4 linked regions of the Anolis sagrei genome follow. The protein of the gene in region 3 interacts with the protein of the main gene of each other region in a biochemical or structural test. Links are inferred from orthologs where the notes say so. Each region holds a gene or a part of one and is shown on either strand. Other genes may lie near its edges. The genes, in order: CCNT2, MBP, CDK9 and CTDP1.

What was found.
Region 1: the proteins of CDK9 (region 3) and CCNT2 form a complex in vitro, tested with the Homo sapiens proteins (4 studies listed by BioGRID, with this or other methods). The link is inferred for Anolis sagrei from reciprocal best matches to the Homo sapiens genes CDK9 and CCNT2.
Region 2: of the proteins of CDK9 (region 3) and MBP, one has a biochemical effect on the other in vitro, tested with the Homo sapiens proteins (2 studies listed by BioGRID). The link is inferred for Anolis sagrei from reciprocal best matches to the Homo sapiens genes CDK9 and MBP.
Region 4: of the proteins of CDK9 (region 3) and CTDP1, one has a biochemical effect on the other in vitro, tested with the Homo sapiens proteins (3 studies listed by BioGRID). The link is inferred for Anolis sagrei from reciprocal best matches to the Homo sapiens genes CDK9 and CTDP1.

The regions. Positions count from the first base shown.
Region 1 is NC_090021.1:214,095,576-214,103,541, forward strand, and holds the start of CCNT2 (cyclin-T2), read right to left. Parts: upstream 3,012-7,966; 5' UTR 2,972-3,011; coding exon 2,736-2,971; intron 1-2,735. UniProt on the Homo sapiens protein: Regulatory subunit of the cyclin-dependent kinase pair (CDK9/cyclin T) complex, also called positive transcription elongation factor B (P-TEFB), which is proposed to facilitate the transition from abortive to production elongation by phosphorylating the CTD (carboxy-terminal domain) of the large subunit of RNA polymerase II (RNAP II).
Region 2 is NC_090024.1:74,469,153-74,476,975, forward strand, and holds the start of MBP (myelin basic protein), read right to left. Parts: upstream 3,010-7,823; 5' UTR 2,560-3,009; intron 1-2,559. UniProt on the Homo sapiens protein: The classic group of MBP isoforms (isoform 4-isoform 14) are with PLP the most abundant protein components of the myelin membrane in the CNS. They have a role in both its formation and stabilization.
Region 3 is NC_090031.1:16,134,844-16,142,263, reverse strand, and holds the start of CDK9 (cyclin-dependent kinase 9), read left to right. Parts: upstream 1-4,399; 5' UTR 4,400-4,403; coding exon 4,404-4,585; intron 4,586-7,420. UniProt on the Homo sapiens protein: Protein kinase involved in the regulation of transcription.
Region 4 is NC_090024.1:76,171,555-76,178,571, reverse strand, and holds the start of CTDP1 (RNA polymerase II subunit A C-terminal domain phosphatase), read right to left. Parts: upstream 3,020-7,017; 5' UTR 2,680-3,019; coding exon 2,423-2,679; intron 1-2,422. UniProt on the Homo sapiens protein: Processively dephosphorylates 'Ser-2' and 'Ser-5' of the heptad repeats YSPTSPS in the C-terminal domain of the largest RNA polymerase II subunit. This promotes the activity of RNA polymerase II.

The sequences.
Region 1 (7,966 bases), on a different chromosome or scaffold from region 3:
GATGAATTGACATCAAACTTGGACACAATATACCTATCAGGCCACTGAGTGACCTTCACTCATGAAAACACTGAAAAACACAGCGGAAGGGACTTAAAAGGTAAAAAAAAGCAAAAAGACGCTACAGTGCATGCACAAAAACAACTCCCCCAGCAAACAACACACATAATAGCATATCCACACTCTCTTCCAGACTACAGTTCCCAGCATCCCCTAGACCAGGCCCTTTTGGAGGAGGAGGATGATCTAAATGCACTGCTTCCAAGCTGCAAGCTTTCTTCTCGTTGGATTTCTTTGAGAGCATCCCAATCCCTGCACATTTCCAATTTCCTATTCCTGGACTGCAACTCCCAACAATCCTCCAGATAGATTAGAGATAGATAGGTAGATAGATAGATTGATGGATCAGGAGGACTGCTGGGAGTTGCAGTCCAAGAATAGGTAAAGAAAGAAAGGGGAAAAATAGGAAGGGAAAGAAAAGAGGGGAAAAGAAGGGAAAAAAAAGGGAGAAGAAGAAAAAAGGGAAGGAAGGAGAAAAAGGAGAGAAAGAGGGAGGGAAAGTTGGCCACAGCAATACATGGCAGGTACAGCTAGTTCAGGTATAAAATACTACATAGCGATGGTTTGGTCATTTTTATTTTATCTTTAAAAGGTGAGAAGTTTTTCTAACATTTCCAATAATATAATTCTAAAAATGTTATGTCAGAATCTGGAATAAACTGCTCAATATTATCCACTCAGTATCACCCAGTTTCACCTTCTAGATGAATAAATAATAATACCAGATTTATACAGTTTTCCCATTATATATTTTATCTCCCGTTTCAATTATTTGCAACTGGAGTCAAAGGAGGGTAAGCATAATTGCTTATCTTAGTGCAGGTTAAGTTTCCATTATCTGGAATCCTGAAATCCGATATACCACAAATCCCAAAAATGTGCACAAGGGAGGTTGAGAGAGTGACACCTTTGTTTTTTGATGCTTCATGCGCAACTTAAAAATACTATGAAATTATCCGTAAGCTATACAAGCAGTCTCAGAGTTACAAACATCGACTCATAGTGAAGAACAGAGGTGAGACAACAGGAAGTGACAAACATCTACCCTTGGAAGGGAAATTCACTCCTGAAGGAGTTATCATGGGGAAAAGGTGTCTCCACTGACGCTTTCTCACCAATCCTTGCTTCCACACCAAGACATTTTTTTCCAAAATCCAATTATCACAGGGACAGAAAGTGAGGTGAAATCTTCTGAACAGGAACACAGAGCAAAGCGAACCCAACAGGGGTGTTATGCCTTCCCTATGCTAACTAAAACTACATACACACACACACACACACGAGTGTGTGTGTGTGTGTCTGGATATACACTTTAAAAGTGTACCTGTTTGACTTATATACAAATTCAACTTAAAATATACAGAACCTATCTTGATCGTAACTTGAGGACTTGCCTGTATCTCTGTCTGTCTGTCTGTCTGTCTATCTATCTATCTATCTATCTAAAGTGTCTAAGAACCATAAAATAATTTCGTGTTCAGACATGGATCCCAAGACCAAGATACTTCTTGATATATGTATATGCAAATATGGGTATTACAAAAACGGGGGGGGGGGGGGGGGGGAACACCCAAAATTCAAAACAATTCTGGTTCAAAGTATTTTAGATAACAGATACTCAACCTGTATTAAACAGACTCAGTTTACAGTTTATAAGTGGCAATAACGAGTGACCAACTTTCCTGTATTTCCAGGGAACTCCTGTATTTTGGATCCTCCCAGCTCCCATACTGGCTTTGTATTTCTCTAGTATTTCAAAGGCTGAAACTTGGTTACCCTAGGTAATAACAATAATAATAATACAGTAGACTTTCAGTTAACTAGATTTCAAGCAACTGGAACTCCCAGGAAATCAGCAAAAAATTAAATACTACTTTACATTTAAATTGGAAAAAACCCCTAATTTTAAGGGGAAATGTACAGTTTAAATTGAAGTTTGTTAGTGATGTTCATTAAGTGAAGTGTATTGGCCACTTAATTGAAATTGCATACTGCACTCATGAAGTTGTTTATAATACAGTGAAACTGTGTTACATTAAGTTATATTTGCTTTTATTTACTTTTAATGACTTTAACATTAATTATATCTAAAATTGTAGTTTTTGTACAAGAGAAAAAATATTGTAGAAATCAAAAAGGGAGTATGAAACATTTTCTTCCTTTCCCATACCAAAGAACATACAGAGAACCTTCTGGGTGCCCCTTTCCCCCTCCTTACGCACTACCCGCCATTTAAACAGCATGGGGGGCATGGCAAGTATTTCACGGGGCAGTGCAGACGCTTTACACAGGCCACAACGTAAGATAGAAATCGAGATTTGCTTTTGTGTGGTTGTGTGAGAAGTTGCATAACTAACTAGCTTCGAAGTGCATGAACGAATACAGCTAAATAAGTGTGCAGATGGGGCCTGCATCCCCGTGGGGTTCCAGGCGGCGGCGCCGAGCTCAAGCCTCCTTCCTCCGCGACTCCCGGGGGAGCCTGAGGCGCCTTGCCTAGAAGAAGGGAGGAGCCAGGCAAGGCCTGCGAAGGCCCAAAAGCCTGAGGTGGGGCCCTTCCTCTCCGCCAGCCACCAGAAGACCCTTTCTTTCCCAGCCACGCCTTCCTTCCCCGCTTCTTGCTGCCCTCTCTGCCCCCCGCTGCCTCCCTCAGGCCCAGGCCCAGCCGCCAAGGATACACGTTGAGGCGCTGGCCCATGTCCTGGATGAGGTTGGCCGCCTGCTGCCGGTACGAGAGCTCCTTGTCGGCCTCGACGCCGCAGCGCCGCGAAGGCGTACTCTCCAGCTGCTCCCGGCTGAAGAACCAGCGAGAGCCGCCCGCGCCACGAGATGCCGCCGCCGCCGCCGCCGCTGCCGCCGCTGCCGCCGCTGAGCTCGCGCCAGGCCCGGAACCCGTCGCAGACGACGCCGCCATGACACGACTTCCTCCTCCACCCGCAACCGGCGCGCCCGGCTCAGGCCCCGCCCCTTCCTCCTCCTCCTCCTCTTCCCCCTCCGCCTGTTCTGCCATCGCGGCGCCTCTCGCGAGAGCTCCAATCCGCGTGGCCGAAAGCCTGCCGGCTCTACGCTGCACGCGGCCTCCAATAAACCATAGAGTCGCCGGGAAAGGTGAGAAAGGCTATAGAGGCGCTCGAATAACCTCTCCTGGATCAAACCGGAAGTCGGAGAAAGGCTCGGGAGCTTTTGTTTTAGGCCGCTTCCCATGAAGATGTATTATGCAACAGTATAGTAATACAGAATACTAATGTTGTGCTGTGCTAATAATATATTGTATACAAATATAATATTGATAATGTTATAATGTAATACAATATAATAATACAATACAATAATGTTATATTTCATATTACATGTAATATTGCTAATAATAAAACAGAATAGTGGCATCATATAATATGGTATTATATATTACAATATACATGGTGAGGCAGCATAACTTCTTTTTTTCAAAACTTAATAAAACCCCTTGTATCAATCAGAATTTTTTTTATATAATGTAGGCGCATACCTATTTCTAGGCGCAAAGATGACTGCAGATGCAGACTGTGGCCAGGAAATCAGAAGATGCTTACTTCTTGGGAGGAGAGCAATGTCCAATCTCGATAAAATAGTAAAGAGTAGAGATATCACTCTGGCAACAAAGATCCGCCTAGTCAAAGCCATGGTATTCCCTGTAGTCACCTACGGATGTGAGAGCTGGACCTTAGGGAAGGCTGAGCGAAGGAAGATTGATGCTTTTGAGCTGTGGTGTTGGAGGAAAGTTCTGAGAGTGCCTTGGACTGCGAGAAGATCCAACCAGTCCATCCTCCAGGAAATAAAGCCCGACTGCTCATTGGAGGGAAGGATACTAGAGACAAAGTTGAAGTACTTTGGCCACATCATGAGGAGACAGCAAAGCCTAGAAAAGACAATTATGCTGGGGAAAGTGGAAGGCAAAAGGAAGAGGGGCCGACCAAGGGCAAGATGGATGGATGGCATCCTTGAAGTGACTGGACTGACCTTGAAGGAGCTGGGGGTGGTGACGGCCGACAGGGAGCTCTAGCGTGGACTGGTCCATGAGGTCACGAAGAGTCGGAGACGACTGAACGAATGAACAACAACAGGCACATACCTAAAGTTTTGTTTTACGTAGTTTTGTAGATCAAATTAGGTAGGTGACGTTCCCCATTCTCCATTCTCCATACACAGAGTAAACCGATTTCTGGCGTTTGTCATGACTCTTGCCAGCATAGCAGGCGTTATGTTGGCAATTTCTTCCTGGATGTTGGTCTTCAAATCTTGTAGGGTCCTTGGACTGGTCACATAAACACGAGATTTCAAAAAAACCCATAGAAAAAAATCACAAGGGGCCAAATCTGGAGAGCGGGCCGACCACTCCAAATCCGCTTGAAAAGTAGGCCTCAGCGGCAAAAGCACGCTCCTCACTGTTCCAATGCATGATGGCGTCTGAACTGTGTCAGGACAAAACTTTATACTCCCGCCTCTCAAACAAGACCACTAGCGCTCCACTAAGTCTTGAGCCGACTGAATGGTGCGCATTTTAAAAAAGGAAATTATGCTGCCTCACCCTGTATAATACAATATATTAATATATAATTCTAATATTGTGCTATGCTAATAATATAATATATTGTATATACATATATTGATAATGTTATAATGTAATACTATATATTACTTTATATTATATTACAATATATTAGAAATAGTTTTCTAAGATCTACAGAGACACTTGCTGGAACACCTCAGCAAGCAAGAGTCCAAAAGTGGCAAGCTCAAACCCAGAACCTCAATCAATGGCTGATACCAAATGAGAGACTCCCTCTTGGGCGCACAGAAAACTGGGCGACTTGGAAAGCGCTGAACAGACTGCGCTCTGGCACCACAAGATGCAGAGCTAACCTTAAGAAATGGGGCTACAAAGTGGAATCCACGACATGCGAGTGTGGAGAAGAGCAAACCACTGACTACCTGCTGCAATGCAACCTGAGCCCTGCTACATGCACAATAGAGGACTATAGTAATATATAATACAAATATTGTGTTGTGCTAATAATATATTGTATACACATACAATATTGATAATGTTATAATGTAATACAATATAATACTAATAATAATGCTTATTTGTTGTCGCTTCTGACTCTTTGTAACCTCATGGACCAGCCCAAGCCAGAACTCCCTGTCAGCTGTCGCCATCCCCAGTTCCTTCAAAGTCAATCCAGTCACTTCAAGGATACCATCCATCCATCTTGCCCTTGGTCGGCCCCTCTTCCTTTTCCCTTCCATTTTCCCCAGCATAATTGTCTTCTCTAAGTTTTCCTGTCTTCTCATGATGTGGCCAAAGTACTTCATCTTTGCCTCTAATATCTTTCCCTCCAATGAGCAGTCAGGCTTTATTTCCTGACTGGTTGCATCTTCTCGCAGTCCAAGACACTCTCAGAACTTTCCTCCAGCACCACAGTTCAAAAGCGTCTTATCTTCTTTTGCTCAGCCTTCCTTATGGCCAGCTCTCACATTCATAGATTACTATGGGGAATACCATTGTTTTAACTGTGCGGATCTTCGTTGCCAGTGTGATGTCTCTAGTCTTCACTATTTTATTGAGATTGGTTATTGGTCTCCTCCCAAGAAGTAAACGTCTTCTGATTTCCTGGCTGATGGCAACCTACCCCAGTATTCTTGCCATGAAAACATTATTATTATTATTATTATTATTATTATTATTATATATTTCATATTACATGTAATATTGCTAATAATATTACAGTATAGAGGTATAGTACAATATAGTAATATATAATACTAATATTGTGCTATGCTAATAATATAATGTATTGTATGTACATATAACTTGTAAGCTGCTCTGAGTCCCAGAGCAGTAGTGTAGTGGCTTGAATACTTCATGCACACTGTAGGGATACCTCTACACCAGGCATGGGAAAACTCCCGCCCTCCAGGTGTTTTGTTAGGAATTGTGGGAGTTGAAGTCCAAAACACCTGGAGGGCCGAAGTTTGTCCGTGCCTGATCTGCACTGGAGACTTAATTCAGTTTGCATCACTTTAACTGGCATACACCCTCTCCCTCTGGAGACCAAGGTTCAAATCCTCGCCCAGTCATGGAAACTCAGTGGGTGACCCTGGGCAAGTCATACTCTTTCAGCCTCAGATCGTGCCATCACCGCTCAAGCAGGGAGCTTTGAAATGATTGAACATAAGCTCTCCGAAGCTTTATGTGTCCCTACTGCCTATTACAGCGAAAGCCTAGCTTTTTGAAACCAAAAGTATTGTCAGGTGTACAATTTTTTTTTTTTTAGAAACAGACCAAAAGTCCAGTGAGTATTTGCATTGCTGAAAAAAAAAACCCACCAGTAGATCTAGGAAACAGCGCCCAAGCACCCCTCCGTGTAATCTCAATTTTCTACTCTAGAAAACTGGTTAAACCTCACAGGACAGTTTTGAATGGTGCAGAGTTGTGAGGAAAATACATACAGTTGGGGGGGGGGGGGGGTATTTAGTCAGATAGCAATTGTACAAGTTCTCCCATTTAAAAAGATGATAGAGGCCTGTAATTGACATCATAGGCAGTCCTCAACGATGAGAGACAACATGAGAAAACACATCCAGAAAATCACATTGTCTGATTTTTAACGAATTTATTTGCAAATTATGGAGACCAGGGTTCAAATCCTCACCCGGCCATGGAAACCCAGCGGGTGACCCTGGGCAAGTCACACTCCCTCAGCCTCGGCAATCCTCTTCTGAATAAATCTTGCCAATAAAGTTTTATTCGTACCTGACCTATGTGATAGAGTTGCCATAGGTCAGAAAAGGCACCCAACAACAATTTTGTAAGGGCCCCCATTCATTTTGAACGGGCTCTGTCTAATGTGTCGATTAATTTGTTTTTAGCCATTCAAAATCATTATAATGATTCAAACTTTTAAAACAAAATTAATGCATAATTCATGTCATTTGAGGCCTCTTCAACTGCCATGGCTCCATGCTGTGGAATCCTAGGATTTGGAATCTGGTGCAGCAAGGAAGGTTAAAACGGCAGTGGGCCATGGCAGTTGAAGTGGTATCAAACTGCATTAATTGGACAGTACAGATAAGTCTGAATTCCCTCCTTTGGGCTTACCACCATCTCAGGGCCGTGAGACTGAACCAAATAGGTACAAATATCTCAATGAATGGCTTAGACAAGAACTTAAACAACCAGGAACAGTTTATTCAAGAAAAGGCTTATCACAACAAACACAAATGCTGGCTCACTGCTTCTAGCAGTGTCACCATTTGTATCTGACTCCAAAACTTCTGGAGCCCTAAAACTACTTTCTCTTCTCTTGTTTCTCTCAGACAGAACTGTGTCTCCCTCAGTACCATTCCACTCAACTGTCAGTAATACATTCAAAACTTCGTCAGTTAAACTGTCCTATGGGCTTTCCCCTTCACCCCGCCCTCCTCAACATTCTCTGGACTGTGATTGGCTGTTTCCTTCTGATTCTGCTGTCAGTCACAATAATCTTAGGTGATATTCCCACTATGGAAGGGTTCATAGTCTGGGTTCAAAGAGCCAAGCCTTAGCCCCCAACTATAGGTATAAAAGAGCCATAGAAGTTGTATTCCAGGTTGAACATCCCTTATCTGGAATTCCAAAACACCCCGAAATCAAAAATTTCCTTCGTGGTTGGCTAAGACAGTGACACCTTTGTTTTCTGATGATTCAATGTACCCAAACCTTATTTCATATACAAATTTAATTTTAAAACATTGCATAACATTGTCTTCAGGCTATATGTATATGGTGCACATAAAACACATATTTCGTGTTTAGACTTGGGTCTCATCTTCCAGAGATAGATACATTTTATATATGTACTAGCCGTCCCCTGTCACGTGTTGCTAT
Region 2 (7,823 bases), on a different chromosome or scaffold from region 3:
GATTAAAGACTTGTGTCGACAGGACTGCTGAATCCAAGGAGAGCGGGTTGAGCTCCCTATAGTCAGCTCCAGCTCCCCATGTGGGACATGAGAGCAGCCTCCCACAATGATGGTAAAATTTCAAACATCTGGGTCTCCCCGGGCAACATCTCACACCAGAAGCAACATGGAGTTTCTCAAGTTGGTCCTGACACACACACAAAATGGGGATAGGTGGGCATGATTGGCCCTCACAATGGCCATCTATAGGGGGTACTTAGAGTATGTGTTTCAGTGTGGCGGGGATTTGGCTGAATGGTCCTTGTGATTTCTTCGAAATCTAAGGGCCCCTTCAGATTATCAATGCAGATAATCTGCATCATCTGCTTGAAACTGGATTATATGAGTCTACATTGCCATATAATCAATTTCAAAGCAGATAATCTGGATTTTATATGGCAGTGTAGAAGGGGCCCAAGGCTGCTTTGAACTGAATTATATGGCAATGTAGACTCATACAATCCAGTTCACAGCAGTTAATCTGCTTTGATCATCTGGATTATATGGTAGTGTCAATCCAGCCAAAAATTTGATAATTCTATGAACTCTAGTCCAGTGATTCTCTAGGCCCTTCCACACAGCCCTATATCTCAGAATATAAAAGCAGAAAACCACACAGTATCTGTTTTGAACTGGGATATCTGGGTCCACACTGCCATATATTCCAGTTCAATGCGAAAAATGTGGGGTTATATTTAGCTGTCTGGAAGAAGCCTCAGGGCCCTTCCACACAGAAATGTAATGCAGAATATCAAGGCAGAAAATCCTACAATATCTGCTTTGGAAAAGGGCCCCTTCCACACAGCTGAATAAAATCCCACATTATCTGCTTTGAACTGGAATATATGGTAGTGTGGACTCAGATAACCCAGTATAAAACAGATACAGTGGGATTTTCTGCCTTGATATTCTGGGATATAGGGCTGTGTGGAAGGGCCCCGGGTTATCTGAGTCCACACTGACGTATATTCCAGTTCAAAGCAGATAATGTGTGATTTTCTGCCTTGATGTTCTGGGTTATATGGCTGTGTGGAAGGGTCCTAAGCCTTTTCTTCACCATGGACTACCTTTTGTGGCCACGGGCCACCAAGAGCGAACTCAGGATTGGATGCACTAAGCTGCATCAAACAATTACTTCCATGTTCTCATGAAGGTCCCTCACATTTAGAGAGCAGGGGATACACTTCAAGCTTGTGAATGCAGACACAATTACTAGAATATCTGGATTATAATGATTTCACAGCAAAAAAAAAAATCATACCATGTCTTCAATCTTTGGCTGACCCCCTTGAGGATATTGCAGACCTCCAAGGTTGTGGAGCCCAGGTTGAGAACTACTGCCAGGGCCTTTCTACACAGCCCTATATCCCGGGATATCAAAATCCCACAATATCTGCTTTGAACTGGGTTATCTAAGGTCCACACTCAGATAATGTGGGATTTTTTGCCATGATATCCTGGGATATAGGGCTGTGTGGAAGGGCCCGCAGACTATCCATCCAGGGTGGAGGACAACCACCATCAATGGCAGAGGTGGGAAAATAGGGCTGATAAACATTGCCATTAGCCTCCCCCCCCCCCCAGTTTCTTGTTGCATTGTTTTGTTTCTGGTCAATACATAAACATACTACAGAAGAATCAATCAGTCCAATGTGCTCTCCTTCTCTACCTGTGCCCCAACCAGCCATTCCTCTCTTCTCTATCCCTCGCCAGGTTCTCAAGCTTCCTCTCCCTCTTTCTCCCTTTAAAGTCACCAGACCCAGTCTCTCTCTCTCTCTCTCTCTCTCTCTCTCTCTCTCTCTCTCTCTCTCATGGCCCTTCTGCACAGTCCTATATCCCAGAATATCAAGGCAAAAATCCCACATTATCTGAGTGTGAACTCAGGGCCCTTCCACACAGCCCTATATACCAGAATATCAAGACAAAAAAAATTCCACAATATCTGCTTTGAACTGGGTACACACTCAGAGAAATGTGGGATTTTCTGCCTTGATATTCTGGGATATAGGGCTGTGTGGAAGGGCCCTGAATTCACACTCAGATGTGGGATTTTCTGCCTTGATATTCTGGAATATAGGGTTGTGTGGAAGGGCTCTGAGTTCACACTCAGATGTGGGATTTTCTGCCTTGATATTCTGGAATATAAGGCTGTGTGGAAGGGCCCCGAGTCCACACTCAGATAAATGTGGGATTTTCTGCCTTGATATTCTGGGATATAGGGCTGTATGGAAGGGCCCTGAGCTCACACTCAGATATTGTGGGATTTTCTGCCTTGATATTCTGAGATAAAGGGCTGTGTGGAAGGGCCCTGAGTTCACACTCAGATAATGTGGGATTTTCTGCCTTGATATTCTGGGATATAGGGCTGTGTGGGAGGCCCCGCAGATAACCCAGTTCAAAGCAGACCTTGTGGGATTTTCTGCCTTGATAGCCCCCAGTGACAGGGAAAAGGGAGCCCTGGTGGGAGACAAAGCTTTGGAGAAGACCAAGAAGAATCAAGCCCAATAGCCACTCACTCACCTAAGGTGTCCTTCGCCTCTTCTTCTATGGGTTGCGCCGTGGAGGGGAGATCCGAGGCGAAGATAGGGCAAGGCCTGCGGGTGGAGACCGAAGGGACCCCCACCCAGCCGAGGAAGGCGATTGTGAGCGGGGAGGTCCCTCTCTTTGGGGGCTCACCGAGCTATCTCTCGCCAATGACAGGCGCGGGAAGCGCTGCTGGCTCCTGCTGCTCGCCTTTCCCCGCCTTCTTCCTCCACGCAAGGGTCGCCCAAAGCTGGTGTTTAGGGGGAAATCGAGCGCGCCTTGTAGCCAAAGCAAGCCTTCTGGTCCCTTTCCTGCCAGATACGGAGAGCAGGTTGTGGGGAGGGGGAGGCTGTTGCTTGCTCTTCCGCCGACGCCTCGCCCCTCCCGATGCACCTTCGCCCGGGCGCCGCCCGCTCGAGAAGAACCAGGAAGGACGGCGCGAATGGCAACCCGAGGAGGAGGAGGAGGGAGAGCAAGTAGAAAGAGGAGGGAGGCAGGGAGCACAGCCCTCCCCTCCCCGGATCCAGGGACTTCCCCGTCTTCTCATTGCCAGCATTCCTCAACCTGCCAGGTGGAGCCTCTTTCCCTCGCTGCTGCTTTTGCCTTCCGGGCTCTCCAGTCCCGCATCCCCACTTTCGGTTTGGCCCAGCGGGGAGAGCGGGTAAGGGGCTCCAGATGTTGCCGACTTCCATCCCCAGAATCCCCCACTGTTGACCAAACGGCCGAGGCTTCTGGGAGTCGAAGTCCAATCCACCTGGAGAGCCAAAGGGCGAGGTTAGAGGACAGGGTCAGGCACCTCTCTTTACCTCTTTCGCTCAAGGGTCCCGGATGGAGCCCGGACTTAGGACTCGGATGAGCCCCCGCTCCGCCATGGAAAGCCCAGTTTGGGTGAGTCACAGGCAGGAAACTCTGCCATAGGGTCACTTTAGGGTCGCTCTTAGTCAGAGACGCCTGGAAGGCACACGGAAACAAAGAGCTCCTTTCTTTGATAATAACAATAAAAAAAAAATCTTTGGGTTGCTGTGAGCTTTCCAGGCTGTATGGCCATGTTTCAGAAGCATCCCCTCCTGACGTTTCGCCCACATCTATGACAGACATCCTCAGAACGTGTGATGTCTGTTGGAAACTAGGCAAGTGAGATTTATATACTCGTTGTCCGAGTAGGATAGTCTTCCAGGGTCAGTGTCCCAGCAGTGGGGCCATAGGTGACTGTGGAGCCCTATTCTTGATCTGCATCTTCTCCCACAGTGAGGGCATTGGCTTCCAGGTGGAAGGCGGTCTCGATTGGGGTTGGCTTGACGCACCTGCCTCTTGGCACGTTTCTCTCTTTCGCCCTCCATTCCTGCCTCTTCAAATTCTACAGCACTGCTAGTTACAGTTGACCTCCAGCTGGAGCGCTCAAGGGCCAGGGCTTCCAAGTTCTCAGTGTCTATGGCAGAGTTTTTAAGGCTGGCCTTGAGCCAATCTTTAAATTTCTTTTCCTGTCCACCAACATTCAGTATTCCATTCTTGAGTTCAGAGTAGAGCAACTGCTTTGGGAGATGGTGATCAGGCATCCAGACAACATGACCAGTCCAGCAGAGTTGATGGCAGAGGACCATCGTTTCAATGTTGGTGGTCTTTGCTTCTTCCAGCATGGTGACATTTGTCTGCCTGTCTTCCCAAGAGATTTGCATGATTTTTCGGAGGCAACACTGATGGAATCATTCCAGGAGTTGCATGTGACATCTGTAGACAGTCCACCTCTCACAGGCATATAGCAGCATTGGGAGGACAATAGCTTTATAAACAAATACCTTGGTACGCCTGTGGATATCGTGGTCCTTAAGCACTCTCTGCTTCATTCGGAAAAAAGTTGCACTCACAGAGCTCAGGCGGTGTTTTATGTCAGTGTCAATGTTGACTTTGGTGAAGAGAAGTGGCTACCAAGGTAGCGGAAATAGTCAACATTTTTTAATGTTACACCATTTCTGGCATTGGAGAGGGATTGGCTGGTGACTGCTGGAAGAGCACTTTGGTTTTCTCAATGTTCAATGACAGGCCGAGCTTCTCGTATGGTCCTGTGAAGGTGTTTAGAGTGGCTTGAGGTTTATATATCCATGGAATGTCCAGGGCGGGAGAAATATCTCTTGTCTGTTTGAGGCAAGTGTGAATGTTGCAGTTGGCAACCTTGATGAACATTTAACGGTCTTGCAGCTTCAAAGCCTGGCTGGTTGCTGCCTGGGGGATCCTTTGTTGGGAGGTGTTAACTGGCCCTGATTTTTTCCTGTCTGGAATTCTCCTGTTTTTTGAGTGTTGCTCTTTCTTTACCGTTCTGATTTTAGAGGTTTTTTAAATACTGGTAGCCAAATTTTGTTCATTTTCATAGTTTCCTCCTTTTTGTTGAAATTGTAAACATGCTTGTGGATTTCAATGGCTTCTCTGTGTAGTCTGACATGGTAGTTGTTAGAGTGGCCCAGCACTTCTGTGTTCTCACATAATATGTTGTGTCCAGGTTGGTTCATCAAGTGCTCTGCTATGGCTGACTTCTCTGGTTGAGTTAGTCTGCAGTGCCTTTCATGTTCCTTGATTCATGCTTAGTAACCAGGTTTTGAAGCTGCAAGGCCATTCAATGCTAATCAAGGTGACCAATTGCAACTTTTACACTTGCTTCCAACAGAGTTCTTTCTCTCATCCTGGGCATTCCACAGATATATAAACCCCACTTGCCTTGTTTCTAACAGACCTCACAACCTCTGAGGATGTCTGTCATAGATGTGGGTGAAACGTCAGGAGAGAATGCTTCTGGAACATAGCAATACAGTCTGGAAAACTCACAGCAATCCAATTAAAGGACATTTTATGGTCAGATATATCTACAATCCTTATATCTAAATTCAAAGTCCAATCTCCTGACTAAACAGAACAAGCTGCAGCCTTCCAGATGTAACTGTATCACAACTCCCATCAGTTCTAGTTCTTGATGAGGAACATCGAAATTGTAGTCCAGCATCTGGAAGGCCACATAAAATGGCATGGTGGGCTGGATCTGACCCACTGGCCTTGGGTTTGACACATTTTCTCCCATCTCATTTGTGAAGTAAGGAAAGCATTACAGCTTTCCTTGGTGACCCTATGGTGAATCTATCCAGAGGTTTTTTTTTTTAGCAAGAGTTGCTTTTGCCTTCCTCCGAGGTTGAGAGTGTGTGACTTGCTCAAGGTGGCTTTCCATGGCTGACATGAATTTGAATCCTGATCTCCAGAGTTATAGTCCAACACTTAATCACTACACCACACATCTTAAAGGATAGTCTGACCCTTGTGTGTGTGAATGCAGGTTGGCTGTGGTTCTGTGGTGACCCCATAGGTTTTTCTTAGGCAAGGTATACTCAGAGTTGATTTTGCCAGGCCCTTCTCCTCAAATAGAGACTGTAGCACCTGGTTATTCATTGGTGGTCTCCCATTAAACTTCTGCAGTGGGTAAACTGCTGAACTGCTAAACTTGCTGACCGAAAGGTTGCAGGTTCAAATCCAGAGAGTGGCGTGAGCTTTCGCTGTCAGCCCCAGCTTCTGTCAACCTAGCAGTTCGAAAACATGCAAATGTGAGTAGATCAATAGGTATTGCTCCAGTGGGAAGGTATCATCATGCCTTGCAGTCATGTTGGCCACATGACCTTGGAGGTGTCTACAGACAACGTCGGCTCTTCAGCTTAGAAATGTAGATGATAGGCCTGGGCGGTTTCATTCGTTAATTTTGTAATTCGTTAAATATTCGTTAATTTTAGCAATTACAAAACGATTACAAAACTTATTTTTAAACCCGGAAGCGTTTTTAAATATCGAAACGGCATGCGCCAAAAAATTTTGTATTTCCGTCCATTTCGGAAATACGTAAGATGGCTTGGCTAGATGCTTGCTGGGAGCTCTCCTCTCTCTCCTCTCCTTAGCCAGTCAGAGCCTGAAAGAGGAGGAGGAGGAGGAGGAGGAGAGGGCGGGGAAGGCGCCGGCTGAGCAAGCGAGCGAGAGGGCGAGCGACCCTCAGCGGGAAGGCGGCCCGTCCCTCCTTCCTCACCTTTGCGGTGGGTGTGCTTCATTCTCCCGAGAAGGAGAGGGCGGGGAAGGCGCCGGCTGAGCAAGCGAGCGAGAGGGCGAGCGACCCTCAGCGGGAAGGCGGCCCGTCCCTCCTTCCTCACCTTTGCGGTGGGTGTGCTTCGTTCTCCCAATTCCTTAGCGGAGGGCTGTGCTTCGTTCTCCCAATTCCTTAGCGGAGGGCTGTGCTTCGTTCTCCCAATTCCTTAGCGGAGGGCTGGGCTAGATGGCCTTTGGGGAGCCCTTCTCCCAATTTCGCATTGCTTCGGAGGAGCCGGGCCCGACTCGGCGTCAGCGCTTGAGGGCCCGCCAGAGTGAGTGCCTGCCTTCCCTCCTTAATAATAATTTCTCCTCCCTATTCTACTAAATTAATAATTAAATTAAAAAATATTGAAAAAATATTGAAAAAATATTGAAAAAATATTGAAAAAATATTGAAAAAATATTGAAAAAATATTGAAAAAAAAGGGCGCCATCTTTACAAAATGTTTTGTAAATATTAACGAAATTTCGTAAATACCGAACTTTTTTAAGGGAAAATTTTGTAATTATTTTAAATATCGAAACAAAAAAACCCCCCAAATACAAATCGATTTTAGAAACAAATTTTTGCGTTGTTACCCAGGCCTAGTAGATGAGCACCAACCCCCAGATTTGGACATGACTGGACTTAATGTCAGGGGAGAACCTTTTCCTTTACTAGGCTCTCTTGATAAGCAATTTCTCCAATCTGCTCAATATGTAGAATGGAAATGACACTGGCAAAGAGTCCATAGATTTCTTTGGCTTATCGATTCCAGCCCACCAAAGTGATTCCAACCAATTGTTTGCCCAACCTATTTTAAAAGCAGGTCATAATCCAAACTTAGGGGTGGATTGGAATTCTCCTGGGTATTGTTTCTGATCTCATCACTTGTCTACCTGTCAGGAAGAGAGGTTTTGATTGCATAACACTATGTAATACAAATTTTGTTTCTGGGTTATAAATGCCATTCCCTAATTGGTTCTATCTTTAAAAACATGGCAAAAAGTTTATTAAACTGCAAAAACTTTTTTTGCAGGACAATCTGCAGCACATTTTGCTATAGATTTTTGATGAATATCTCATAGTCTCAGTCAATTCAACATAGTTTGTGGAAGCCACAAAAACAAAGTTTCTGGAGTATAATAACTGTTTCAAAGTGAGTACCACA
Region 3 (7,420 bases):
GAAGCAGCAGCAAATAAGGAATCAAGTAAAGATCTGAGTGATAAGGAGGGTTCCCATGGGAATCCACGTATAGCTACAGAGATCAACAAAAGTCTGTGTTTATAAATTAGAGACAAAAATAGATTGTGTCGTTCAGAGAGATTACATGAGAAAGTTCTGAAGGAAATTCACAGGAACCAACAATTTCATGGGTGTCTATTAAACAACAAGTTGTTTACCTTAAAGTCAGTTCAGGCAACACTACGTTAGAGTGAGAAGCTAAGCCTGAGTTCTCTTGTGCATACTGTATTTTTTTTACTTCCTTTTTCCAAATTGAATTACATACAGTGAGTCCTCTGTATCTGCAGTCCCCAGATCTACAGATTCAACCGTCAATTTCATATAGACAATATACGAAATTATTAGTAATTAGTAAGTTGTATCTAATTCATAAATTTTGGATATGCCAGGCATGGGTAAACTTTGACCTTCCTACCAGATGTATTGGAATTCCCACAATTCCTAACAGCCCCAGGCCCCTTCCTGTTCTCCCTCAGTAGCTTAAGTTGGAGGATTGATTGCCCCTAAAGAAAGACACATAACGGACCCATGACTGTCATTTCAAGCTCTGTGGAAACTAAATAGCCCCTTGAAACTGGACAGGGTCCGCCAGCCTTCAAATGGAGCCATTGTTAGGCCTCTTATCTGATGAGAGATCCTACAAAAAAAGGGAGAAAACATCAGCCTGGGGAGAAAGGAAGCAAGGAAGCGACTCAGCCAAAGAGCAGAGTGGAGCACCAGGAGCACAAAGGTCACTCCGCCCCCAGTGCCCCTGCGGGATGGAACAGGAGCTGTGCAACCATATCTTAAGGGCACTTCCCTTTTCCCCATGGAAAAATACATCCCAAGGCATGTGTCCTTGTTGTTGTGTACCATCATGCTGACTTCTGCTTAAGGTGGCCTTCTCATAGGGATCCCTTTGCCATTACTTATTCAAGGAGTGTGTTGTCGTAACCGAAGGCTTCTATGGCCAGAAGCACTGGTTTGCTGTGAGTTTTTTTGGCTGCATGTTTCGGAAAACCAGAATCTCCAGAATGTCCAGGGTGGGAGAAAGAACTCTTGTCTCTTGGAGGCAATTGCCCACCTTGATTAGCATTGAATGGCCTCGCAGCTTCAAAGCTTGGCTGGTTGCTGCCTGGGGGATCCTTTGTTGTGAGGTGTTAACTGGCCCTGATTGTTTAATATCAGGAATTTCCCTGACATGAAACTAATATCGAGCAAGAATTTAGGGGTCTTTGCCAGGAGACAGAGACCAGTCAGACCCACCAAAGAGAGTCCGTTCACCCTGGCAAGACAGATAGAAGCACCCAAAGAATTTTCCCTGATTTTTCCCGATAAAAGTTTCACCAAATTGAAGAAAATGCCATCAAATTGCCCTTATTTTGTTCCAGTTGGTACGGATGTCAAGCTGCAATCCCTTGCCAAAAACTGACATGTTTTGCAAGACAGAACAGTACATTTTTATAGAGAAACAGAGCTGTCAAATTCAAACTTCCCGCCCCCGTCCCCCTTAGCCGGCTTCACGCTGATTGGTTGGAGTCATCAGCTAGAGGGGAGGTGCGGCCGGCTTAGGCATGCCTCAGCCAATGAGAAAGCCAGCGCCGCTTCGGCCTCTCAGCCAATGGGTAGAAGGGAGGCAGGTAACAGGAAAAAAAATGAAGAAATGTCCTTTTGATTGGTTTAAATTATTAATGTTTGCAAAATAGGGGATTATGAGATCATTCCAACCTGGTGTCCTTGGTAAAACTATGAATTCCTTGGTTTTGAACCATCTTTTACAGAGTCCTGGGGGAGGGGGAGGTCACCTCCAATATCAAAACCAGCCAAGCTTTCAAGCTGCAAGGCCATTAAATGCTAATCAAGGTGGTCAATGACAACATTACCCATTTGCTTCAAGCAGACAAGAGCTCCTTCTCCCACCCTGGACATTATTCCACAGATCTATAAACCCCACTTGTCTAGTTTCCAACAGATCTCACAACCTCTGAGGATGCCTGCCATAGATGTGGGTGAAATGTCAGGAGAGAGTGCTTCTGGAACATGGCCAGACAGCCTGGAAAACTCACCACAACCCAGTGGTTCCAGCCATGAAAGCCTTCGACAACACAACAAAGGAGTTAATTTCCAATTTACTAACATCAGTGAGGCTGATAATAGCGAAAAATTGGAAATAAAAACATGATTTTCAGATAGAATAATAATAATAACAATAATAATAGAAGACTGGTACAAAGAAGTGTGGAATATAGCAATAAACGATAAATTGACATAAGACTAAAAAATAATTTGGAAATTAAATGTTTTTTGGAATATATGGGGGAAATTGATAGCACATGTCTGTGCTGAAGGGCAAGGAAGCAAACCTGCAGTGTAAACAATGATGTTTTGGAAATAATATATGAAGCGGTTAGGTCCAGGAGGGGACAGCACCCATCTTTATTTAATTCAAGGAATTTATGTTGTGGATAATATGTTAAAATTGGTAAAAACGTTGAAGCTCAACTCAACTGTGCGAAAACATAATAAAAGTTATGAAAAAAAAAACTAGAAAGACAAACAGAGGATGCCTCCAGGCAACAACAGCCAATAAATACCCTCACTGATTGACTCAGCAACTGCAAGGCCACTCAATACTAATTGCAACATTCACCAGCTATTGTCGAAGGCTTCCATGGCTGGAATCAGTGGGTTGTTGTAGGTTTTTCGGGCTATATGGCCATGTTCTAGATGCATTCTCTCCTGACGTTTCGCCTGCATCTATGGCAGGCACCCTCTGAGGTTGTGAGGTCTGTTGGAACGAGGAAATTTGGGTGGACATTCCACAGATATATAAACTCAAATTTCCTAGTTCCAACAGACTTCACAACCTCTGAGGGTGCCTGCCATAGATGCAGGCAAAACGTCAGGAGAGAATGCTTCTAGAACATGGTCATATAGCCCGAAAAACCTACAACAACCCATTCACCAGCTAACTCCTCCCAACAAAGGATATCCCCAGGCGGCAACCAGTCTGGGTTAGAAGCTGCAAGGCCATTAAATGCTAATCAAGACAGCCAATTGCAACATTCACACTTGCCACAGACCAGGGTTCTTTCTCCCACCCTGGGCACTATTCCCGAAGGAGACTCAATCCCGAAGGGGACTCAGAGCGGTTTACAAGATATATCTATATAAATAAAAATGTAATGTTTGTTTGTGGGATTAACAGAACTCAAAACCACTGGACGAATTGCTGCCAAATTTGGCCACAAGACACCTAATAACCCAAGGAGTGACCATTACTCAAAAAATTAATTTTGTCATTTGGGAGTTGTCATTGCTGGGATTTATAGTTCACCTACAATCAAAGATCATTCTGAACTCCACCAATGATGGAATTGAACCAAACTTGGCACCCAGAACTCCCATGACTAACATGGGCATTGATCTTGAGTTTGGGAGTTGTAGTTCACCTACATCCAGACAGCACCGTGGATTCAAACAATGATAGATCTGGAACAAACTTGGCACGAATATTCCATATGCACAAATATGAACACAGATGGAGTTTGGGAAAATAGAGCTTGACATTTGGGAATTGTAGATACTGGGATTTATAGTTTACCTACATCAAAGAGCATTGTGATCCCCACTAATGACAAAATTGGGGCAAACTTCCTGTGCGTGTGTGTGTATATATATATATATATATATATACACACACACACACACACGCACAGGAAGTTTGCCCCAATTTTGTCATATATATACACGCACGCAACACACATATATACATACATACACACACAATATTATTAGCATACATACTCTCCACTTGCCTCACTGACAAAAGAACCTCAGAGGATGCCACTGACCACAGATGCAGGTGAAACGTCAGGAGAGAATGCTGCTGGAAGATGGGCACACGTTCCAAAAAAAATCACAGCAGCCCAATCATAATAATTACTCATTTCAAACTTCCTGCCTTTACTGTAAGCCAGGCTTTCCCTGTGTCTTCGATCCCTCTTTCCAAAGCTTTGTTTTCCACTGAGTCTAATGAAGGCCTCAAGCGGACTTGCAACCTTGTACTCTACTTTTCCCTCAAAGTGGTATCAATATTCCTATATAAACATATGTACTATTATTATTAGTTAGGATTGCTTTCTGTCATTGCAATATTATTGTTGTTGTTTTCTACCATTGCAATATTGTTGTTGTTACTTGGGAGAGCCAGACAGGCCAGAGGAGAAGCAGCTGCAATCCTTCCCGCTCATTTCGCCGCCCACTTCCGGACTCTCGCGCAAGCCCCGCCCCCTTCTCGAACTACGACTCCCGGCGTGCATGGCGGCGGCGGCGGAAGCGGATTACCGGAAGTGGCGTCCCGGATGGAGGCGAGGCCGGGCGGAAGTGCAGCCGCACGCCCCTCAGACGGAAGCCGCCGGCAGCCAGAAGAGGTCGGGGTCGCCAGTTCTGCCATGGCCAAGCAGTACGACACGGTGGAGTGTCCCTTCTGCGATGAGGTCTCCAAGTACGAGAAGCTGGCCAAGATCGGGCAAGGCACCTTCGGGTGAGCACCCTCCCCTTCCTTCCTTCCTTCCTTCCCTTCTCTCAAGCAGGCCTAGGCCAACTTGGGCCCACACCAACTCCCACAATCTCTAACAGCCTTCCGGTGCTTCGATTGTGCATTTTCCGGGGTCTCTTCCAACTCTATTACTACTACTACTACTTCTACTACTAATAATAATAATAATGAGGCTGGGTGGCCATCGGTGGGGGGTGCTTTGATTGTGCCTTTCTTGCATGGCAGAAGTTGGACTGGATGGCCCATGGGGTCTCTTCCAACTCTATTATTATTACTACTACTACTAATAATAATAATAATAATAATAATAGTGAGGCTGGGTGGCCATCTGTCGAGATGCTTTGATTGTGCTTTTCCTGGATGGCAGAAGTTGGACTGGATGGCCCATGGGGTCTCTTCCAACTCTATTATTAGTACTACTACTACTAATAATAATAATAGTGAGGCTGGGTGGCCATCAGTCGGGTGTGCTTTGATTGTGCCTTTCCTACATGGCAGAAGTTGGACTGGATGGCCCATGGGGTCTCTTCCAACTCTATTATTAGTACTAATAATAATAATAATAGTGAGGCTGGGTGGCCATCAGTCGGGTGTGCTTTGATTGTGCTTTTCCTGGATGGCAGAAGTTGGACTGGATGGCACATGGGGTCTCTTCCAACTCAATTATTATTATTATTGCCACATCAGCACTTTTAATTCTGTACCCATTACTCTAGCCCGGCCCAGTTTTATTGTGTTTTGGTGTATTGTTTATTGCTTGTTGTTTAATATTGCTTTAATTGTTTTTAATTTGCTTTAGGTTTTGTATTGTTATGTTGTGTATTGAGACCTTGGCCTTTGTAAGCTGCATCGAGTCCTCCGGGAGATGCTAGCAGGGTACAAATAAAGTTAATAATAATAATAATTCTACTAATAATAATAATATTGAGGCTGGGTGGCCATCTGTCGGGGGTGCTTTGATTGTGCCTTTCCTGCATGGCCCATGAGGTCTCTTCCAACTCAATTATTAGTACCACTACTACTATTACTACTACTAATAATAGTGAGGCTGGGTGGCCATCTGTCGGGGGTGCTTTGATTGTACTATTCCTGCATTGCAGAAGGGGTTGGACTAGATGGCCCATGGGGTGTCTTCCAACTCTATTATTATAGAATCATAGATTTGAAGAGACCTCATGGGCCATCCAGAAGAAGCAGGAATATTGCATTCAAAGCACCCCTGACAGATGGCCATCTGGCCTCTGTTTAAAAGCCTCCAAAGGAGGAGCCTCCACCACACTCTGGGGCAGAGAGTTCCACTGCTGAACAGCTCTCACAGTCAGGAAGTTCTTCCTAATGTTCAGATGGAATCTCCTTTCTTGTACTACTACTACTACTACTACTAATAATAATAATAATAATAATATAGAGGCTGGATGGCCATCTGTTGGGGGTGCTTTGAATGCAATATTCCTCCTTCTTGGACTGGATGGCCCATGAGGTCTCTTCCAACTCTATGATTCTATAATAATATTGATTGTGCTTTTCCTGTATGGCAGAAGTTGAACTGGATGGGTCTCTTCCAACTCCATTATTGTTGTTGTTGCTTCTACTACTGAGAGAGATGTGATTTAGAAAATTAAATTCCCAATTATTACAAGTCCCAGAAGCCCTGTCTATAGAGAAAGAATGATTGTTCTCTGTGTTCTTTTTCAGTCAAAGATACAAGCAGTAAGTTAGGGGGTAAGCTCATTCCCTTACTCCTTAAATTTTCTCAGCCATGTAGATAAGCAACTTGCATATAGAGAAGCCACAGCTCAGGGTCAGACATTCCAACAGAATCATTGTTATAGGCTTTGATGTTAAAAACATAGAAGGACCAATCAAAAGTTGCCTGAGTGTTGAGTATAAAAACTTGGTTAAGAGAGCCACAAGGGGCGGGCAGTCTTTGTTCTTTGACCTGAACGGTCAAGGGCTGTCTGTCTCAATGCTGATCAGCTTGAAAATAAAAGACTTGTTGAAAAACCTCATCGGATCTCGTCTCCTCCCTGCCCTCTGGGCTCCATCACCTTAAATTGGTTTCTAACACAATTACTATTACTACTACTACTACTACTAATAATAATAATAATAATAATAGAGGCTGGGTGGCCATCTGTCGGGGGTGCTTTGATTGTGCCTTTCCTGCATGGCAGAAGGGGGTTGGATTAGATGGTCCATGGGATCTTTTCCAACTGCATTCTATGATTCTACTTTCTTCCTTCTCCAGCTCTGGAGGCCCTTCCACACAGCCCTAGAAATATAAATATATTGTATGAGAGAGTAAATGTTTTGGGCAACTGAAATAACACTTCTGAAGATCTATATATTTTGTGCATTGGCATAACTTTGTTCCTAACAGTTCAGAGAAATATCCAGGTATAGCAGTCTAACCACTGAGGGCCCTTCCACACAGCTCTAGAAATATAAATATATTTTACTAGCAGTCCCCTGCCACACATTGCTGTGGCCCAGTCTGTGTATATGTGTTTTGTGTGTGTGTATATTTGTGTATATGTTTACTAGCTGTGTCCTGCCACGCGTTGCTGTGGCATATAGTAAGAATTTTCGAAGAAGAGGTAGATATCTGGACTATTATGAAAGAGCAGTACCTACCTATTCCTCCCCCCCCCCTTTTTCCCCCTTCCCATTTCTCTCCTTTCTTCTCTACCTCTTTCTTTCACTCCTTCTTTCGCTCTTTGGTTTCATCCTTCCTTCTCTCTTTCCTTCCTTCCCTCCCCCTTTTTCTACTTCTTTGCCTCCCTTCTTCCCTCCCTGTTTCCTTCCTATATATTTTTGCAT
Region 4 (7,017 bases), on a different chromosome or scaffold from region 3:
AAAGTATTTATGGTGGAATCACCCCACCTGAGTTATTTTTGAGTCTAACACAGTGTTTCTCAACCTGGGGGTTGGGACCTCTGGGGGAGTTGTGAGGGGGGTTTCAGAGGGGGCTCCACAGACCATCCGAAACATATATTTCTGATGGTCTTAGGAACCCCTTTGACAGAAAAGACTGAAAATATCTCCACCTGTCCTCTTCTTTTTTTGGTGTTGGGGAACTACAATTCCCAGTATTCAAAAACAGCCCCCTCCAACCCCACCAACATTCAATGGTGGCCATGTAGGTAGTGTGCCAATTTTAGTAAACATCCATTGTGGGCTGGGTTCAGAATGCTTTTTGATTGTAGGTGAACTATAAATCCCAGCAACTACAACTCCCAAATGTCAAGATCTATTTCACTCAAACTCTACCAGTGTTCACATTTAGGCATATTAAGTATTTGTGCCAAGTTTGGTCCCGATCCATCATTGTTTGAGTGCACAGTGCTCTCTGGATGTAGGTGAACTACAACCAAAACTCAATGTCAATGGCCACTAAAGTCTTTCAGTATTTTCTGTTGGTCAGGGGAGTTCTGTGTACCACATTTGGTTCAATTCCATCGTTGGTGGAGTTCAGAATGCTCTTTGATTGGGGGGAGGGCTGATATTGTCATTTGGAAGTTGCATGGTTGCTGTTCATTCATTCAGTCGCTTCTGACTCTTTGTGACTTCACGAACCAGCCCACGACAGAGCTCCCTGTCGGCTGTCACCACCCCCAGCTCCTTCAAGGTCAAGCCAGTCACTTCAAGGATGCCATCCATCCATCTTGCCTTTGGTTGGCCCCTCTTCCTTTTTCCTTCCATTTCCCCCAGCATAATTGTATTCTCTAAGCTTTCCTGTGTTCTCATTATCTGTCCAAAATACTTCATCTTTGCCTCCAATATCCTTCCCTCCAGTGAGCAGTTGGGCTTTATTTCCTGAAGTATGGACTTGTTGGATCTTCTTGGGGTCCAAGGCACTCTCAGAATTTTCCTCCAACACCACAATTCAAAAGCATCTATCTTCCTTTGCTCAGCCTTCCCTATGGTCCAACTCTCACATCCGTAGGTGACTATGGAGAATACAATTGCTTTTACTATGCGGATCTTCATTGCCAATGTGATGTCTCTACTCTTCAGTATTTTATCGAGATTGGTCATTGCTCTCCTCCCAAGAAGTAAGCGTCTTCTGATTTCCTGGCTGCAGTCTGCACCTGCAATAATCTTTGGACCTAGAAATACAAAGTCTGTCACTGCTTCCATGTTTTCTTCCTCTATTTGCCAGTTATGAATCATTCTTGTTGTCATAATCTTGGTTTTATTGATGTTTAGCTGCAGCCCAGCTTTTGCACTTTCTTCTTTCACCTTGATTAGAAGGCTCCTCAGCTCCTCTTCACTTCCAGCCATCAAAGTGGTATCATCTACATATCTAAGGTTGTTAATGTTTCTTCCAGCAACTTTCACCCCAGCCTTGCATGCTTCAAGCCCTGCACATCGCATGATGTGATCTGCATACAAGTTGAATAGGTTGGGTGAGAGTATACAACCCTGCCGTACGCCTTTCCCAATCTTGAACCAGTCTGTTGCTACTTGGTCCTTGTACAGATTCCTCAGGAGCGAGACAAGGTGGCTTGGGATCCCCATACTACGGAGAACTTGCCACAATTTATTATGATCCACACAGTCAAAGGCTTTAGAATAGTCAATAAAACAGAAATAGGTTGGGTGAGAGTATACAACCCTGCCATACGCCTTTCCCAATCTTGAACCAGTCCGTTGTTCCATGCTCAGTTCTTACTGTTGCTACTTGGTCCTTATACAGATTCCTCAGGAGAAAGACAAGGTGATTTGGTATACCTATACCACCAAGAACTTGCCACAATTTATTATGATCCACACAGTCAAAGGCTTTAGAATAGTCAATAAAACAGAAATAGATGTTTTTCCTGAAACTCCCTGCCTTTCTCCATTACCCAGCGGATACTGGAAGTTGTAGTTGCTGGGATTTATAGTTCACCTACAATCAATGAGCATTGTGAACTTCACCAAGGATAGAATTGGACCAAAATTCTCCCACAGAACCCGCATGAAATACTGTTTTCTGATAGTCTTCGGCGCCCCCTCTGACACCCCCTCGTGATCCCTCCCAGGCTGCGAAAGGCGGAGGTAGGGGGAAGGAAGCTGGCTTCCTTCTCCAGAGTCAGGGCGAGCGCGAGAGGGCGGGGGAGGAGGGGCGGGCTGATGCCGTTCTTGGCGCCCTCCCTCCCTCCTCCTCCTCCTCCTTCCTGCGCCAGGGATGGGGCGAGTGCTGTGGTGCTTGCTCAGATGAGCTGCGCGGCGAGGCCTAGTCCCGCCCCGGCTGCCCTCCCTCCCTCCCTCCGCTCCTCTCCTCCGGACTCACCCGGGCGGGATGACTTGTCCCGGCCGCGCGCACAGCTCCCGCACCACGCCAGGCCGCTCCGCTTTGACCTTCCGCTCCGGGCCCCGCGCCTCAGAGGCCGCGATAGGCGCGCACACCGCCAGCACCGAGCCGATTTTCACCGCCGCCCCGGCTGAGACTTTCCACTCGAGGAGCCGCAGAGGCTGCGGGCCGGGGACCCGGATCTCCGTCACTTCAGAAGCCGAAGCGGCGGCAGCTGCTCCAGGGTCTTCCTCCATGGCCTCCTAGGCCGGGCCCGTCCGACGCGGGGTCGCTATGGCAACGGCCGCCTCAGCGATAAGAACCGAATGCCAAACGGCAGCTCCCCCCCCTCTTTCCTCCCCTCCCCCTCTTTTTCAAAAAAACAACAACAACACGAAGAAGTAGTCACGAGCAGCGCAGCGGACGGAGCGCGAGGTCAAGACTCTGCTGCGCAGGCGCACGGCGCCGCCGCTGCTGCTCCGTCCCTGCTGCCTTAAAGGAACAGCCGCACCAAGGCGAGAGGAAGGCATCGCAGGTCTGACGATGGAAAGTTTTAAGCCACGCCCTTCCTGCTTCGCGCGCTGGCGCTGGTGACGCAACGGGGCCCGAGCCCTCTTCCCCACCCCTCCGCGTGGGCTGCATAACAGACGAGCCGGTGGGACGCGCATGCGCGGCAGAGTTTGTGTCCCAGCTTTTAAGCCCTGGCTAATGCAGTTTGAACACCACATTACAGGGTGGGGGTGGGTGTTGAAACTTTTTTTTAGCAAATCATGAAGAGTAGTTTGATAACACAACAACAACATTTTTAATACAATCCAAAGACCCTTATTGCTCTGTAAAAGGTATGCAAAGTTAGTAAGGCCAAAAATAGCCAAAATGGATTAAAACACATGACGTGGGTGGAATTAACAGCAGATAAAACTAGCCCCAGCAAACAAGAGTCCTTTGTCCCACCCTGGTCATTCCACAGATATATAAACCCTTTTCCCTAGTTCCAACAGATCTCGCTACCTATGAGGATGCTTGCCATAGATGCAGGCGAAACGTCAGAAGAGAATGCCTCTAGACCATGGCCATATAGACCAAAAAAACCTACAACAACCCAGCAGATAAAACTGATTAAACATGGATTAAAACTTATAACCAGCATTTAAGATAGCAATGACTTAGGTAAAAGACTACAAAGGGTAACTGGCATGTTTCATTTAAAGAAGTTTCTTCACATTCGGAAAAAAACTCTCAATCACAGACAAGATATGCTTCCAGTGCATTTGATGGTTTTTCTGCAGGTGCAATTTCATAGACTTAGCATGGGGATTTGGTTAACCAGTTAAAATTCATGAGTTAACCAGGTTGCTCCCTCCCTATGAGTTCCTCTCACATATTTATACATGGCTATCATTTCTCATCTCAGCCTTCTCTTCTTCAGGCTAAACATGTCCAGCTCTTTAAGCCGCTCCTCATAGGGCTTGTTCTTCAGACCTTTGATCATTTTAGTCTCCCTCCTCTGGACACATTCCAGAGTCCACAGCAGACAAGATCACTCTGCTGGCTGTTGTATTGGATCACTCATTTGCTTTCTGGATTTTTGAATTAAAACCTTTTAAAGACGTGGAAGGTTGAATCCGTGGATACAGAATTAATGGACAAAGAAGGGTGATGCTCCCTGAATGACGGATTATGAATTTTAGCAAAGTGACCTGTGGCAATCTCATTTTCCCCATATTCTGTTTACTGGATATGGGAAGCCAAAGCTTTTCACAGTGGGTTATTGTTGTTTATTTGTTCAGTCGCTTCCGACTTTTCATGACCTCATGGACCAGCCCATGTCATGACCTGAAGCTACCAGTTTTCAAAAGTTCTCTAATAAAACATTAAGAAAAGGGTCATTCAGCTGTTATTGGACAATTCCCTCATTTTATATTAGTTTTGAATTTTCTATAAAATATAAAAATTCCATTGTGGAAACAGTCCAGTTGCAGAAGGTATTGTATTTTCTTCCTTGGAGCTCCGGGTCTTCTATTCCTTCTTGCTGTCTCATCATTGTACAGTAGACTCTCAGTTAACCAGAAAACAAGCAACTGGAGTTGTCAAGCAAACGGCAAAGGTTTGTTGACTGCTGTTTAACTAAAATTGCATACTGCATTGACAAAGCTGTGTTTTTATAATACCATTTTATTTATTGCGTTTCAAAGGCATTGCATACATAAATATAAAATTGATAAAAATAGAAGGAGCACAATCAGCGAAATAATTTTTGACCAAAACTGGGCAACAGCAACCACATTGTCTGTAGCGTTAAACAACTTCTCCTCTGTACACAAGGCAGGGCATTGTGGACAAGCAAACAGGTGCAGAATTGTTTGTTCTGCTCCACAGTCGCACAAGGTGGAGGATTCTTTTAGGTAGTGCCATTTTGCCAGGTTGTCTTTTGATCTGTCCACTCCACTTCTGAGTCTGTTCAAGGACTTCCAAGTTGCCCATACTTGGTTTGCTCTTGGAGGGAGACCCTCATGGGGGACCATCCAATTGGGATTTCCTGGTTTAGCTGCCCAGAGGGATGCTCTTGCTGTCGCTGAGGGAACAGTAAGATACAATATTATAATATTATAAAATTGTGTTACATTAAGTCAGATGTGTCTTTCTTTCAATAGTACTATCATGGCAACATAGAGTTCATGATGTGGTAAAGTATGAGGTATAGTATTATTTAGCCCAAGTTTTAATAGAAACTTTCAAGCAGTCAGAAACTACACTTATCCAGCATCTATCAGTCCTCATTGAGTGCCCTTTAAATGAGAGTCTGTTGCATCAGTTTGGGATCTCGTTTGTGTTAAAGGGCTACATAGATGCATTTTTTTTTGATCCACTCATTTAGAAATTTTGGAAACTTTCAAACCCAAAGTGTCATCATCATTATGAAAAAAATGTGCATAAGCAGATTATGCCTTTGAAGTTACTTCTAGTTGTCCTTGCCCTCTGTTGGTGCCACTCCTCTGTATTTATGGCAAATTACCATAATTCCAAAGATTTACATTCCATTTGAATTTTCATTCTTCCAGAAAAGCCAGTTCCTCTTGTAAAACAGCAAAATAGACTTTTCCACAGCAACTTTAAATATCTGATGGAAAATATACAACATTTGCACTCTAGTAATCTTTAACACCTTTAGGGAATTAACAGTTACTGTATTCAAGGTCTAAAGAAAACACAGGGAATATGTGCCCCTCCTATAATTCTTCAGCATAGGGTGAAATTTTTGGAAAGGCATAACCTTTTGGGAAAAGGATGACCATTGAGATCATAACCTTTTGGAAAACCAGACTCTTCAAAGCCTTTTGGAAGCGTGACCTTTTGGAGATTAATTGGCAGTCACTACCATTTGGAAAATCATAACCTTTTTGTAAAATAAAGATCTTCCTGAGAAAAACTAAAAACTCGTTTGAGTGAATTTTCTCTTTAGCGGTATATATCCACTAGTATTGCTTCAAGGCAATTAGGTTTCTCAGTTGTTAGACTGATATACCTGGTTATCTGTCTGAACTATTAGGAACAAAGATATGACAATGCACAAAATAAATGGAAGATCTTCAGGAGTGTTTTGCTTCAGTTGCCCCCCCCCCCCCCAAAATCTACTCTCCCATAAAATACATTGGTTTTAAATAATGTTCTCATGAGACAAAAAATAAGCAGTCTTTTAAAAAAATAACATAGTTGATTTTCTTACAAACTTTATGTATTCAGCATACAGGTACATTGTTTATCAGTTGAAAGTTTAAACAGTAAGTTCTCTAAGGCATTCTGTTTCATTCTCTTCTCTGTCTTATGCCTAATGCCTAATGAAAATGACTATACAATAAAATATAACACAACACAATACTATACTGATTTCTAAAATGGAGCCTCAGTATGAATAGGCCCAGATCTGATCACATGGTCTGCAGTCTCTCTCACAACCTCAAACAACATAGAGTTAAGGAAGCTGCATATCAAAACATACATATATAATACAGCAAGCAATCTGAATTATATACTGTACATAACAACTAGTATAGGAGGCTTGTAGAAGATTGCTATTTCCAACAGAAATAAATAAGGACTAATGTCAGTTGCAATCCAACATCTGGTGATTGTGTATTCCCCACTCTGGGTGAACCTTACTTTTCCACTGTTAAAACAATTAAAGTGTCTAATCCTACATGATCCATTGGGCTTCAGAATTGTTCCTTCATTGCAATTGGCCAACACCACATTTTCCAAAATGTATCCTTAAATGATTCCAAAACAATAGCATTTTTTCCTAAAATACAAATTGAAGTGTTTTGCAGGTTGAAACACCAAGATCAAATATATAAAATAATTCAAAAAGATCTTGATAAATGCCCACTTTACATCCCAACACAGACACACACCTTTGCTTTTCAAGAATATTCACATTTTCAAACAGCAGTGTCCTCTCCAATTGATTTTTATGTTCTGCTCCCACCTCAAACCTCTTTGCTTTGTAAGTGTTTTGTCTCTGATTTCTATCTGCAATTTTATTCTTGTAAGCAGATGACATCACTTGTATATCAAGCAATATATTTTATAGAAAT